2 linked regions of the Canis lupus familiaris genome follow. The protein of the gene in region 2 purifies or fractionates together with the protein of the main gene of each other region. This does not show direct contact. Links are inferred from orthologs where the notes say so. Each region holds a gene or a part of one and is shown on either strand. Other genes may lie near its edges.

Region 1 (7,911 bases), on a different chromosome or scaffold from region 2:
GCAGCCAGGAGCGGCTTCTAGGGTGGGTGGCCTCGGGCTGCAGCCCTCCCGCCCTCAGCCTGGCTCTTCTCCCAAACGTGGGCACGGCCTGACCCCCCGGCTGTGCCGACGGCTGGGCGTGAGCCGGGGGGCGCCCGGCGAGGGGGGCTGGACGGGGCCGCGGGGTCCGGTGAAATCACGCAGCGCCGAGCCGGGCCCGGGAGAGGAGCCCGTCCTCCTGATGCCTGGGCATGTCCAGGCCCGGGGAAGGCGGAGGCTCGCCCCACGGCCCTCCCGGCTCGCGGCGGCCTGGGGGAGTCCCTCTCCTGGCTGCAGCCAGGCTCACACCCGTGCCTGTGGGCGTGGATGTCCTTGCACGAGCGTGGGCACCCACACCGCAACCGTGCTCTGCTGCTGGCTCTGAAGCCCAGCCCGCTGCCCGGCCCGTGTGTCCCAGGCCCCTCCCCGGAGGCCCGTGTGACCCCGAAGGCCTGTCAACCTCCGGCGTCCGCGGTTCCTTAACTGGCGCCAGCCCGGAGCCCGATGGACGTCCCCCGCCACCCAGGCTCACTCGCCCCTGATTTGTCCGTGGGTCCCGGGGGACGGGGCCGGCGTGGCGCTGCCGCGGACCTGCTGGCCAGCGACGCACAGCCGGGCCGTCCCCGTACGCCCGGGGCCACCTGACCCAGGCCCCGAGGCCCGAGGAGCTGGCCTCCACCGACGGGAATCGGGACGAGGCGGAGGACGAGGCCCAGCTACCGGAGGGCTGATTCACCCAGAGCGCAGCCCCGATGGAGGCCGGGAGGCCGGATCAGAGGCCGCGGGGGGTGCCCGTCAGCACGTGTTCCGAGCGGGGCGCAGAGACGGAGCCGGGCCCCGAGAGGCAGCAGGAGGAGGCAGCGGGGGTCTCCCAGGGCCTGGGCCTCCAGGACACTCACGGCCCAGGACTGGGCGGCGGCGAACGGCACAGGCTTTGGGGTCAACAGGGGGCTACATGGCGTCCCGGGGCGTCCTCCTCGTCAGTCAGGTCCACGAAGACCTTCTCTCGTCTGACCCCACAGGCAGATGCGCGGTGAGTGTGGGTCAGAACGAGGCCTGTCAAGAGCCGGACGCCACTGACCGACGGGTCTGCACGGCCTGCAAAGACCTCAGGGCAGGGCCAAGGGGGGTTACCCGTGGGGCCAGCTGCACAGTGCGTGGGGCCAGCGCCCCTCCTGGGGACCTTCGGGGGCTTGTGACTAGTCCCCTTGGGGCGTGCGAGGAAGCAGAGGCACAGAGAGGCCAAGTGCGGCGGGCGGCTTGCACAGCAGGACTGTCACGTGAACCAAGGCCCAGGGAGGAGGCCCCTCGTCTCGCAGGAGCGTGGCAACGTGTCCAGCAAGGTGCTCAGACCGTTGCATCATGCAGGTGGCCCCGTCAAATCCTGGCTCCCCTGGGCTTCCCCCCGCCTCAAAGCCGGGGATGATGAAACCACAGGTCCTCGAGCGGCGGGGGGACAGAGCAGCGGTGCGGTTGGGGGCCGAGGACCGCCTGGGGACCCGAGCCGGGCACACGGGGTGCTTCCTGCTTCTGAACAGGACGGGGTACACAGAACTTCGTGGTCTGGGACCAGGCCACGTGCCTGGTGGCTTGTGAGAGCCCCGCAGACCACAGCCCCAGACAGAGTCCAGGTGGGTTCCTTTGGGTGAAGCCAGGATGGCCCTTTCTGGGACCCTCCCCCAGACCCCACCCCACCTGAGGTCAGAGCCAGCGCACCCAGAGGTGGTCCCTGCTGTGGGGTCCACGGGACCCTGGGACCCACTCTTGCTGGCAGGTAGGCCTCAGCCCCAGGGCAGAAGGGCAGCCAAGCGGTTCTCACGGCACCAAGCCCCGGGGCTGGACCTCTAGACCCCTCCTCTGTCCAGGCCTTCCTCCTCCCCCCATGCTGACCCTGCGTGGCCCGGCAGAGCGTGGTACCTGCGTGGGTCCCCAGCTGCTCACTGAGACCCTCCCTGGCGCCGGTCACTGCACCAGCCCCCGTGGCTACAGCAGAGAAGCCTGCGGCCAGGGGTGGTCCCCGTCCCCAGCGCCCCCGCGGAGGGTCAGAGCCGTATGAGGCCGGTCACTGAGTGTCGGGAGGCCGGGCTGGGGCTGAGGAGGCGTCTGGAAACCAGGAGCAAGCTGGCGGGCGGGGTGCCAGTGGGCGTGTGATTCAGCAGGGGCCCTGCGCTTGCCCGGCGCCTGGCACAGGGACCCCGGTGACCCTCACTTTCTCTGAAGCACGGGCGCCCGAGGGAGGGAGCCCCCCGGCCTTTGGCTGCTGCCCCCCAGGCCTGCTTGCTGCTCCCTCACCTGTACAACGACAGCCGTCAGCACCAAGTGCCAGGCACGGCCGTCCAAGGAAACCACACGGGCTCTCGGACGGGAGCCCCAGGCACCCTGACGCCCCACTCACACGCCCACCATTGCTTCTGGTCCCCGGACGGACACAGGCTGTAAGCACCGCCCGCAGAGCCAACGCCACCTCCTCGCCTCCCGGCGGCTCCTCGGGGCCTGGGCCAGCTGAGTCAGCGGGGGTTGGCACCAGGGGGGTGACCCCAGGCCCCACGCGGGAGGAGTTGGGGGGGCAGGCCCCTGGGAGAGGAGACCCAGGCGGGGCTCCCCGGAGGCGCGTGCCGCACGGGGCCAGCAGAGGGCGCCTGGCCCACGGACGCGGGGCCCAGTTGCAACAGGAGGGGACTCGGGCTTGCTGCTGCCCCGCGAGGTCACCCTGTATCCTCTGCTCCACGTGGCGCTGGCACTCATCTCGGCGCCTGGGCCCCGGGGGGGCTCTGGAGCTCCAGGCCCACGGGGGCTCTGGCCACAGGAGTCGGGGAGAGTAGCTCCTGGGATGGAGGAGCCCTGGGGCTCGGGGAGAGGGGGCGCAGGCAGGGAGGGCGGTAGCCCTGCGGGGGGCACAGTCCCTGGCCTTCCAGGCCCCGAGGAGGGCGGCAGCCGAGGCCCCGGCCAGTACGATGCTGGGACAGCTGCTGGGTGACCTACTCCCCCAGCTGCACACGCAGCACCCCATCTCTACCCGTCACACTCAGACCACCATGCACTCTGACGGGGCCCCTAATCCACTGCACCCCACCCCAATGTGGACGAGACCCAGCTCCCAGCTCAGCCTCCCCCCGCGCCCTGTTTGCCCCACTCTCTCCCAGCCCTTGGCAGCTGCCCAGACGCTGCCACCCTGCTGCCACCCTGCTCTCGGCCTAGCCAGGACAGAGGCCTGTGGACTCGAGTAAGTTCAGGATGGTCGGTAAAGACCCAGCGGCCAAGTGGGAGTGGATACAAGAAGGAGACGCACGGGGGAAGGCTTCCACCCGAGATCCGGGGCTGGGCGGGGGGCAGCTGGGGCAGGGCCCAGCGAGAAGGCCAGGGACACCCAGGAGAAAGTTCCTGTGCCCGTGTGGGAGCGGAGCACACACCAAGCTGTGCACAAGGCCCCGTGCTGGCCCCGGCGCCCAGCATGCCCACCAGGCTGTCCCGGCAGAGAGGCGGTCCTACACAGGAACTCTCAGCGGAGCGAGACACAGAAGGGCTGCTTGGGGTCCTCCGGAGGGGGCCTCTCCTGAACCCCGGGGCGGGGGGCGGGTAGTTCAAAGATCTCTCAAGGCAGCCCTCAGGGTGCCCCACCTTCCGGAGCCTGGGCCAGGACCAGGCTGGCTTCCTCCCCCTCCCCAGCAAGGCGTGGTCAGGGACCCCACGGGGTCTGTAGCGGGGTCACCCCCGGCCCCCCTGCACCCCCTGCCCCCGGCCGCGGGTCTCCATCCCAGCAGAGCAGAGCAGAGCCCTTCCCTGCAGCTTCCCCCTACTTGGGGAGCCACCTCTCCCTGGAGGAATCTGGCTCTGCTCTTGTCCACCGCGCCCGGGCACCCGCGCCTTCCCACTGCGAGGAGCCCGGGGGTCTGGGTGGTCCGTGGGACGCTGCATCCACCCCCCACCCGCACACCCGCACACAGGCTGGCGGCAAAGCTCCTCCGAGGCCTGCAGGGAGGGGGCGGGCGGGCCCGCGGGCAGCTGCAGGGCTGAGGATGCCTGGGAGGGTCGACGCTCGTACAAAGAAAAGACGCGGCCCCTGGGCGGGATCCAAGGCGCGACCACCTGCAGCTCGACTCCCCGCCGGAGGCAGCGCGAGGGCCAGGCCGGCGGCGCGCACAAGTTCCGCGGGCAGGAGCGCGGGGCCGAGGTCGCGGCGCCCCCGCCCCCGCGCGCAGCTCGCGCCGCACCCCGCGGGGGCCCCGCGCCGCCCAGGACCCGGGGCGGGGGGGGGGCCCGGCTGCGCGCACGCGGGCTGCCGTCGCCGGGGCCCCGCGGGAAGCCTCGGGCCGGGCCGGGGCGGCTCCCCGAGAGGCCCGAGGGCCGCCTGGGGGGGTCGGGGGCGCCGCCTCCCTCCGGGTCCCCGCGGGGGCGGGGGCGGGGGGGCGCGGGGCGCGGGGGCGCGGGGTGCAGGGCGCGGGGCGCGGGGTCCAGGGCGCAGGGGGCGCCGCGCCCTCACTCACCCGAGATCTCCGCCTGGGGCACGTCGCTCAGGCTGAAGCCCTTGGCGCCGTAGACCTGGCGGACTTCGCTGCAGCTGCGGCCCTTGCTGGCGGGGTCCCCGCGGGCGCAGGCGGCCAGCGCGGCGGCCGCGCACAGCAGCCACCAGCCTCGGGCCCGCGGCTCCATGGCGGGGCCGCCCGCCCGCCCGCCCGCCCGCGCGCCGCCCTCGGATCCCGCCCGGGGCCGCGCAGCCCCCGCCCGCGAAGGGCAGAGCCAAGGTCCCGGCGCGGCCCGCGGCCCAGGAGCCGCCACAACAAAAGCCGGCGGCGGCGCGGGGCGCGGGGCGCGGGGCGCGGGGCGCGGGGCGCGGGGCGCGGGGCGCGAGGTCCGGCCGCTCGGTCGGCGGCACACGGCGCGGCGGGGCGAGCGCGCAGTCCCGGCTCGGCGCCTCCCCTGCCGGGGCCCGGCCCCTCGCGGCCGGAGGGGGCGGGGCGGGGCGCGCAGGGGCGGGGCGGGGCGGGGCGGGGCGGGGCGGGGCGCGCAGGGGCGGGGCGCGGCGGGCGAGCTGCAGCCGGGCCGGGCCGCCCGGGGAGGGGGGGGGCGGGACTGCGCGGAGGGGGCGGCGCGGGCCGGGCCGGGGTCCCCGGGGACGCGCCCCCCCACGCCCGGGGCCCGGGGCGGCGGCTGCACCTGAGGGGGCGGGGCGGGGGCGGGGAGCCGAGGCAGGGCTTCCCCCGCCGGACGTGACGTCACGCGCGCCGCGCGCCTATCAGGGGCTCCCCCGGCCCGGCCCCGCCCCCGGCCCCGCCCCGGCCCCGCCCCGGCCCCGCCCCCGGCCCCGCCCCCGGCCTCCCCGCACCCTGGCAGCGCGCCCCGCCCGCCGCTCCCGCAGCGCCGCCTCCCCCGCGCCCCCTCCCCGCGCCCTGGGTGCGCCCCGGGCGCCCCTCCCGCGGCTCCGGCTCGCACCTGACGCTCACTCTGACGCCGCAGCCGAGCGGGGACCCCGGGCCCCACCTTTCCCGCCCGGGACGAGGCCCCGACCACTTGGTGGTTGCCGCCGGCCAGCGGGCCCGGGTCCCCTCCGCGGGGAGACACAAGTGCGACCGACGTGGGCCGTGTCTGCCCGCTCGGGTCGCGGGGCGGGGCGGGCCGCCCTGGGAGGGGATGAGGCCGGGGCCAGCGACAGGTCAGGGAGCGGGGGAGGCCGGGTGCAGGCCCGAGGGCCGGGGGCCCCCGCGGAGGCAGGGGGCAGTGGGGACGCGGTCGGGGCGGGGGTGAGGAGCTGAGGCCGCGTCTTCTCTGCTCCTCTCCTCCCCAGCCTTCCCCAGCCGTGCACCCCCGCCCTGGCCTCCTGCCGCCCCCCCTGCCATGTGGGCAAAGGCCGCAGAGACCGCCAGGCCGCCAGGCCAGATGCCTCGCTGGCACAAATGGAGCAACGCAATAAGTGGGCACCCCCGGTGGAGGACCCAGAGATGCCCGCTGCGTGGCACGGGGCACCCGGCCTCACGTCCTGCCAGGAGCAGCCCCCCACCCCGGTGCTCCCCACACACATCAGCGGTGTGGGCCGCGTGCAGGGAGGGGGCTCCGGCCCTCCGCAGCCCCAGGAGGGGCCTGGGGTCTCCTGCCTGCCTCCCGCGCAGGCTGCTCCCTTCACCCAGAGACACTGAGTCATTGTATGGAGGCTGTGGGGACCCAACCCAGGGTACAGACCTCCTGCCCTCCCCACGCACCTGCTGCCTCATCGTGTCAGTGACTCACAGACCCCTGTAGAGCGCGTGCGTGTGCGAGCTTACACACACACACACACACACACACACGCGCACACGGGCCTGCTCCTTCTTGCCTAGGCCTGGCTCAGCCACCTGGACACCTCCCCCCTCCACACCACGTGCCTGCCTGGCTCGGGCCACCCGGGGAGGGGTAGGAACACTGGCCCAGGCCCTGTCCAGGGGCTCACCCCCGGCCACGTGCCTCCCTGTCCCGCGGGGGCCTGGACTGGGGCTTAACCCGCCCGAGGCGCTCTCTGTCCTGTTGTTATGGTGATCGCTGTTGCCACCGCTTAATCCAGGGAGCCTGGGAAATTCCTCAGGGCGGGGTCGGTGTCCAGCGCATTTCCGGGTCTTCAGACAGCAGCGTGGCCAGAGTGTCCACGGCCACGCTTACATGGCAGGTTGCCAGGACGGCCCCGCTGGGGCACCTCCTCGGTGTAGCGGGGCTCCATCCCCCGGAGAGATCCTCTCACTACCTGCAAGGTCTCCTCCGAGTCACTACGGTGTGAGTCGGGGGCAAGGAGAGGAGCTGTGACCAGAGCCTCTCCGCGGGGCTGGTACATGGCCAGGGAGCGGGGGGCAGCCAGTGGGGGGATCCCCCAGCTCTGATGGGGCTGCACCTGGCAAAGAGCCTTGTTGACAAGCAGCAAGGAGGCCAAGTGCAGGGGGCAGCTGGCGAGACAGTGGCAGACTCGTGGCCGCTAGGCGGTCACTGCTGCAGGTGGCTCTGCTGAAGGCGGCCAGGTGTGGGGACCCCGCCGCCGGCACACGGGGAGGAAGTGTTGGGTGCAATGCAGAATCCGTGTCCATCCTTTTTGTCCGGTTGCCTGGCCCACAGAGCCTTCCTTGCTCCCCCACCCGAGGGGCGTTCTGCTTTACAGACATGAGCGGTGGTCCCCGAGCAGCTGCCCCAGGTGCCGCAGAGCCCTCCTGCTCCTGGCACCCCGACTCTGTCGGCGCCCTGCCTGCCCCCGCGGGCCTGGACGTTCAGGTTTCGTGCCCGTCTAGGATGGCCCTGGATGAGGGGTGCCTGGTGGCCAGGCCTGGACACAGTGTGGCCCAAGCGGCTGGGGCATCGGGAGCCGGGCTGGGTCACACTGGGGAGGTTAGTTCCCCAACCCCCCATGCTGTCACCCACGACCTCCATCAGCTGCGCAGGAGCAGCTGTGGGAGTGGGGTGGGTTCACCGTGGGGAGCTCTGGGGTGGGATGGGACCACCCCTGCCCGCTTTGGGGTGCCGGCCTGTCCACTGTGCGGACACAAACATATGACAGCTCAGACACAAGGCACGACGGAGCCGGTTTGCACGCTCATAGGAAAGGGAAATTCTCTGGTCCCTGAGCAAGCGGCGTGTGACACACACTGGACTTGCCCTTCTGCTGACACCAAGGGAGAGCTGGGAAGAAAAGGGCCATTTAGAGTCATCGCGGAGGGGGGCGTGTGGGCTCCCCCACATTTCCTCCTCTGGAGGAGCGACCTGAGGGCCAGACGGCATGTGGTCCCGCTGCCCTCCCTTTCTGCCTCCGGCCAGGAGGAGTCCGGGGATGCGGGTCCCGCTGCTCAGGAGAGGGCGGATCTGGGGGCCTGTCCGCCTCCACTTGATCCGCAGAGATGGGAGGTGGGGCTACTGGGGAGCAGCAGCAGGGTTCTTTTCGTGTTG
Region 2 (7,376 bases):
CATCTCCTTCAGCAGTTCTATGTTTCCACCTTCAAACCGTTCCCCAAAGGCTTTGCCCAGATCTTCTGATACATGTTTTGCTACATCCACACCAACTTCATCGACCAGTGTGGCAGCACCCACAGGAAAGCCAAAGCTTGTGGTAAGGGAATCCAGCTTCTTAGGCTCAACTCCTTCCTGAATGGGATGGAAGCAGGGACCTTAGTAGGGTGGGGGTGGGGGGGTGGCACCCATTCCAGACCCTCCTACGAGGGCTCCCATGCTGATGATTAGAAACAGAACCAGTCCAACACTCACTTTTCTCCTGGGTACCACCTAGCCAGGCCCAGACTTGGGGCTGTTTCACTCAGGGAAAGCAAAGGAGGGAAAGTCTGAGCCTTCCCTAACCTAAGGCACTTAAAGGAATGAACAAATTCATTTAGAATGAACACTTTATTCGTTTCCTTGTTTGCAATTCTGACTCTCAGTAGTAATGAGATTCCATGGCAGACAAGGCTAAATTTCCCATAAGTAAGAGAGGAGACAGCACCACAGAGCAGTGTTGCAGACCCCTGGAGCCTGTGTCTGGTAAGTGCCCAGCGAGGAGGTACCACCCGTGGGGTGTGTGTGCAGCAGAAGCTGCTCCAGCACCGATCAGACCAAGTGGGCTTATCTGTTCTGGATGGCTCCTGCCTCTAAGGGGATGCAGCTAAAGAAGCAGAGCTAAAATTCTGCCCATTGGAGGGCAGCAAAGCTCATGATTTTCTACCACTATGTGGAAGGATTGGGTACAAAAGGGCTCCCTCAGAGAAGAGCCAGGACTTAGTGTATTAGAAGGAAGCCCATTCCTCATCCTGACAGTACCAGTCAGAGGACTGGTTTAAGGAGTGGAAGATGTCTCCAATGTTCCAAAAGCAGTACCAACCTGGAGGATTCTGAGGACTTCAGACATCATGGGTGCAAGGCACCTGGTGGTGTAGAAGCCAGGTCCATCCTGCCAAGGGAGATAATGTGGAAGAATCTGAAAGCAGGCTCTTTTCCCCACATGTCATTTCAAAATTCAAGGTGGTGTATCTTCCCAAACAGAACTGTTACAACTATAATGCACGGGAAGCCCCAACCAGGGCAGCATGGCTGGGAGAACCTGCGATGTCCCAGACCCTGACTTAGCAGTTCAGTCCATACCACTGTCCACACTGTAGACAACTAAGGGAAAAATCATACCAAAAGGTTGTTTGGTATGATTCTGAGGCAAACATAGGCAAAACAAGCCTGGAGGTACAAGGAATCTTAACAGAACTTTCCCCACATCTGTCACTCTGTTGTTATACAGCTCCTTACTTTCACCACAATGATGACCTTCCCCTGCTTGAGCCCGACAGCTACCGCTGAAGCAGTGGTGTCCTTAGACGTTTTATCTGTTGTAATAATCTCCAGTAGCTGCATCTTGTCCACAGGAGAGAAGTAGTGCATGCCAATCACCTGGCAAGGGGAGTACAAAGCCAACAGATGTAACAACGCTGAGGAGGGAACTGGATAGCACTCATTTTTGGCCAGGAAAGCAAGGGAGAGAAAGGTGGTCGTGATACAGGAATACTGCTTGATCCAGTTGAGTGGTTTGGCTCTGTGGTTTTTTGATAAAAAGTTCAGTATGTTCAGAGGGCTCACTGGAATCTTCCTCTTCCAACTGCTTCTAAGGTTTTTCACTGAGGGTGATAGATTCTACCAAGAATTAGTGCCAAAATCACAGCTCATGGCCAAATTAGATTTATCAGGGAAGAATGAATGAAAGTTCCACTCATATTAATGATACTGTTGGTTTAGAGGGGACACTTTTTTTTTTTTTTTTTAAGATTTTATTTATTCATAGAGACAGAGAGAGAGGGGCAGAGACACAGGCAGAGGGAGAAGCAGGCTCCATACAGGAAGCCCGATGTGGGACTTGATTCCAGGTCTCCAGGATCACACCCCAGGCTGCAGGCGGTGCTAAACCGCTGCGCCACCGGGGCTGCCCTAGGGCCATTTTTTTTTTGAGGACAGGGGAAACCGAGGTAGGCAGAAGAATCTGTCAATATGCTAGACTGTCAGAGATGTATTTGGATTTTACACAGATGGGTCTCACCAGCAGGATACTGGGTTTATTTTTTTTTAAAGATTTTATTTATTTATTCATGAGAGAGAGAGAGAGAGAGAGAGAGAGACAGAGAGCCAGAGACACAGGTAGAGGAAGAAGCAGGCTCCCTGCGAGGAGTCTGATGTGGGACTCGATCCTGGGACCCCGGGACCACGACCTGAGCAGAAGGCAGATGCTCAACTCCTGAGCCACCCAGGCACCCAGGATCCTGGGTTTAAATAACATTTATCGACATGCAGGGATGCCTAGGTGGCTCAGCTGGTTCAGCTTCCAATTTTTTTTTTTTAAGATTTTATTTATTTATTCATAGAGACACATAGAGAGAAGCAGAGACACAGGCAGAGGGAGAAGCAGGCTCCATGCAGGGAGCCTGACGCGGGACTCGATCCCAGGTCTCCAGGATCAGACCCCGGGCTGCAGGCGGCGCTAAACCGCTGCGCCACCGGGGCTGCCCTCAGCTTCCAATTCTTGATTTTAGTCTCGGGGTTGTAAGATTGAGCACTGTGTCAAGCTCTACGCTCAAGGGGAGTCTGCTTGGGATTCTCTCTCTCTCTCTGCCTCTCCCCACCAAGTCCCACCTCATAGCTCTCTTTCTAATAAATGTTTGTTTGTTTTTTTAAGATTTATCAACATTCAAATGTGCCTGAAGATTCATTACACTAATGAAGTAACTTGACCAGCAGCATTAGCACTGCCTGGGAAATTTAGAACTACAGATGCTCAGGCCCACCCCAGACCCAGATCTACTGAATGAGAGACAGGGCAGGGCCCAGATCTGTGTTTAAGAAGCCTTCCAGGTGATTCTAATACATGCTGAAGTTCAGAACCTCCTCCTCAGGCTAACAGTCCTCCCAAGTGAATTGCCATGGAAGAAAACAATTTAATCATAAAACTTAGAGTTTTGCTCTGTCTACCCTCATTTTAGCTGTGAGATATAATTAACGATATCTACCATTTGCTGATTACTGGCTATCCACTGTTCTTTAATACAATTGCCATTAATTCCCTACATTTAATCCATCACTCTGTGAACTAGTCAGTCCTACCTAGATGAGGAAAAAAGACATCAGGAGGTTAAAACTAGTAGCTCAGGGCCAGTCAGTGGATGGCAATGGGATTCCATCACAGTTAGCCTGTCTCCAGAGCCTGCCTACTCTCCATTATGTAACACATAGGTCACTTAAATGTTTCATAAACTTACCAATCCAAAAGTTGCTTCTAAATCCTAAACGTTCTTTAATTTATGTCTAAATGATTTTTTAAAAAACCAAACCTGTTTCAGACTCAGTACTTCTAAGCAAAAGGGATTAGCTTTTATGATATATAACTTATACACAATAAGTGTATAAGTGTTCATTTCAATGAGTTTTGTATATACACCCATATAATCACTGCCTCAAGCAAAATCCATTTTTCATCACTCAAGAAAGCTCTGCCAGAGGTGACCAACTTGTTCTGGATAAGCAGATGGCTGATCACCCAACCTGTGACCCTTTGCCCTTAATTTTATATGAGATAGGGGAAGCAGATGACTTATGGAAGCTATCCAAGATACCTGGAGGCCAGGACTGCAAAGCATGATACTTTTCCCACTGGAAAATGAGAAGTTAGCATCAAAGGTTCTCCTTTACTGACTTAAAATGCTGCAGAGGTGCTTTGAGTGATGTGACATGGCCAGATTGTCATCTCCCTTTATACTGTTGTTGTATCTTCCCTTAGTGTAACATTATCAGCTGCCACTTCTCCTTATGACCTTTTCCTGCCATCCCTGCACTTGCCTGTCAGGCCCCACATCACTTCCAATCTGCTATGTGTGAGGAAACAAGATTACCTTGTATTACCAAACTATTAGAATAGGAATAAACAGACTTTTGTGTTTTCAGTACAAGGACTCTGTATTAACAATTTTAGCTGCTTACAGGTCTCTTATATTTCCTGCCTACTTTTGGCTGGCTCTGGTTACCTAAGGCTAATTGCTATCCTCCAGAGACGTGAGGTATTTCATTTCTCCTTGAGTGCCTTCACTTTCCCTAGGTTGCTCTAGTCCAGCAGACGCCCAAAGAGAAATGTCTAAGCATCATTCCAAATACTTAAAGTGCTTCTACCTTTGCATGTCCTGGGTAGAAATTCTAAGTGAACCCATAGGTGGACACACCTCACCACACCTCCTGATCTTCTTCTTCTTCTTCTTTTTTTTTTAAGATTTTCTTTATTTATTTATGAGAAACACAAAAAGAGACAGGCAGAGACACAGGCAGAGGGAGAAGCAGGCTCCATGCAGGGAACCCAATGCGGTACTTGATCCCGGAATTCCGGGATCACAACCTGAGCTGAAGGCAGACACTCAACCACTGAGTCACCCAGGCATCCCACCTCCTGATCTTCTATTCTTGGATGTGGGATTGGAACCAAACATGTCTTAGATCATTAGCAGTGTCTACTCTGTAGCTGAAGTGATATTCTGGAGTATCCCTTTTTATTTTAGGGTCTATCTTTATTATTTTTTAATTTAAAAAAATTTTTAGAGTACTCTCTTCACCCAATATGGGACACAAATTCACAACCCTGAGATCAAGAGTCATATGCTACCAACTCGGCCAGCCAGGTGCTCCTTGGACCTATCTTTAAATACCTAATTGTAATAAAGGTACGCTTTATAGTCCGAACCTTGGAATGCAGATCACCTAGAAAAGCTTATTTTGGTTATAGTTCATTTCACTTATCCCAGCATCTTGAATGGTCATGGTATTAGTTTCTCTATGCCCAGTTTTGGAGAAAACCTCATCACTCCCTTCACTTCACAATCCACACAGGCCCTTCTCATGCTCTAAACCTTCCTCTGAGAGCCTGTAATAGGAAAACAGTTCAGGGTCTTTCCTCTGTTCAGAATTTACCTTCTCAGGTCTTTTGCTGGCAGCAGCAATTTCATTGATTGGGAGAGCAGATGTGTTACTGGCAAAGACACAGTGACCTGGAATCACCTGCAGGGGAAAAGCATTTAAGAATGTCACATAAACCCGGGAGATGACTGGAGTCTGAAGCAAAGCTAAAGTATGAGACCTGGGCCTGGCCCTGCTCTCCCCACAGCCACTCAGACAGGAGACACTATTCACCTGATATTTATAACCACCCAGGGCTTCTGTGTGTGACCTTGTTCTCTTTCCCATTCAGCCTCCTTCCATCTCTGGCTCAGCATCCTTCCTAACCCAGAGACTACATCTCAGCAGTTAGGTAAATAAGACACTTCAGATAAACACTGAAGAGATCACCTTGAGTTAAATCTCATTCGTTTCAAGATCCAGCCTATGTGCCAATCCCTCTTCTTGCTCAGATCTGCCCTTGAATCCAGAAGTTCATGATACCCGCACCCTTTACTTTTCTAAGAACAAGTCATAACATGCATGCCTAGCTCATTTTATACAGGGTACTGTTAGAAAACTGGACACCACTGTAATTAATCTACGGCACATGAATACTATTAACTGTTAGCTTTATCACCCTGGAGAAAAACTCTAACATAGACTGTCTCAGCATTCTGTTCATGATCCCAAGTTATTAAATTTTTATTCAGCTGCATGCATAAAACACACGGAAGGCACACCTGTCAAATTTGTGCAAACCGGGACAGGCAAAATCCTAACATCAGAGACAGGAATCAAGGTTCAAAATACATGCAACACACTAAAGAGCTGAGCGTAAAATAACATCAATTATAAGGAAGATAAAGGTCAAATACCATATCAATATTTTTTTATAAAGAAAAAAGGGAAAAACCTAGAGAGGCACCTGTTGGACAAAACCTGGCTCAGCAATCAGCTTGTGATCAGGCCCCCATGATTTTAATCAGAAGTGTGAAGTCGAAAGCAGAGCGTGACCGCAAGGAAGAGTCTCAAGTGGCATGTCTGAGAGGTATGGCATCTTATTCTGGTGGGGAAAGTCTCCATGAAGAGTGGACCAATATCTCCAAAGAGAGCAGGCAACAGTCCTCCCTTCCTGGTTCACACGTGGCTCTCCCCCGCTCCAGAGGTATTGTCTACTTCCTCCCTCTTGAATCTTGTGACTTGCTTTTACCAATGGAAAGCAGGAGTGACACTCTGAAGCTCTGGGCCAGGCCTTAAAAAGCCCCATTTTCTGCCCTCTTGGAAGCCAGAGGCAATGCTGTAAAGGTTTGCTCAGAGTCTGCACTCCTCTTGATCTGATGATCCCTCTTTCTCTTTCCCTTGATCACTAGTTTCCCAACTGCAACCCCAATTTTCCAGAAGCAAATACCAACACCTAGTCAAGTGGTAAAGCTCCTCTCTCCATGCTGCCTGTGTCAGCTTCTGCTGCTCCTTGGAATCTGCCTGCCACTGGCTCAGCAGTGCCCTCAAAGCCCTGGGATACCACTTATGTATCTGTGCTGAAATGCCACTTAGCACAGATGGAATACAAATCCACTCAGCTCTCTCTCAGCTGAATCTACATTACCCTTTATCAAAAGGAAAGATTTTCCAGTGCATGGATTCCAAAGTGGAAGCTGTCCCAGGCCGGCTGCTTATCTTTTGTTTCTCTCCCGACCTTGTCTTTAGTTTCTAAACCCTCCGTAGGCTGAGTCTGTGGTAGAGCAGGGATTGCCCTCACTCACAGGGCACTTTAAGAGTATGGCCACTACTCCAGAAACTTGGAGTACTACCAAGCCAGTTTCATTTTGTTTGCACAATCTACTAGCCCACATTTATTTAACTGTAGGCTGCTGCTCCAGGCCCCGGTTCTACCTTGTACTCAGGTTACTGTCATTTGTTCCTCTCGGCTCTTTCCTTGTACCACCCAATACAGGTACCTGTTTTGTTCATGGCATGTAGAATATTTGGGATCAAGACCAAAGCATTTCCACAAAGTAAGCATGTGAAACCTGCCTGGAGCAATAATTCCTCCCCTACTTCCTGTGCTGGCTAGATCTGAAGTTTAGTTATGGCATGTAGCTAACCCAAAATGTCAACACAGCTGGCTATCCTCCATGAGGCTACCTGTAGGTCTGGGTGACCGAACTCTCACAGAATGCTAATGAACCCTGTGCTACTTGATTTTCTTGCCTGGAGACCCAGATTTGACCTTTGTAACATATATACTGTGCATGAGTTCACAAAAAACTGATGTTTGGACATGAACAGCCCTATAACAAGAACCACAAGTTGCCTTTTAAGAACACCTGCATCTGTGTCCTCCACTCACTAAACGAGAATTCATGTACAACAGGCCTCATACTTACCGCTTCCACTTCTTT

The links.
Region 1: the proteins of HADHA (region 2) and GPC1 purify together in Homo sapiens (co-immunoprecipitation; 3 studies listed by BioGRID and IntAct, with this or other methods). This does not show direct contact. The link is inferred for Canis lupus familiaris from reciprocal best matches to the Homo sapiens genes HADHA and GPC1.

The regions. Positions count from the first base shown.
Region 1 is NC_049246.1:50,781,121-50,789,031, reverse strand, and holds the start of GPC1 (glypican-1), read right to left. Parts: upstream 4,669-7,911; coding exon 4,503-4,668; intron 1-4,502. Other genes in the region: proline-rich protein HaeIII subfamily 1-like, read left to right, coding at 4,667-4,760, 5,473-5,668, 5,801-6,149. UniProt on the Homo sapiens protein: Cell surface proteoglycan that bears heparan sulfate. Binds, via the heparan sulfate side chains, alpha-4 (V) collagen and participates in Schwann cell myelination.
Region 2 is NC_049238.1:20,376,380-20,383,755, forward strand, and holds part of HADHA (trifunctional enzyme subunit alpha, mitochondrial), read right to left. Parts: coding exon 7,362-7,376; intron 5,095-7,361; coding exon 5,008-5,094; intron 1,462-5,007; coding exon 1,321-1,461; intron 974-1,320; coding exon 905-973; intron 178-904; coding exon 1-177. UniProt on the Homo sapiens protein: Mitochondrial trifunctional enzyme catalyzes the last three of the four reactions of the mitochondrial beta-oxidation pathway.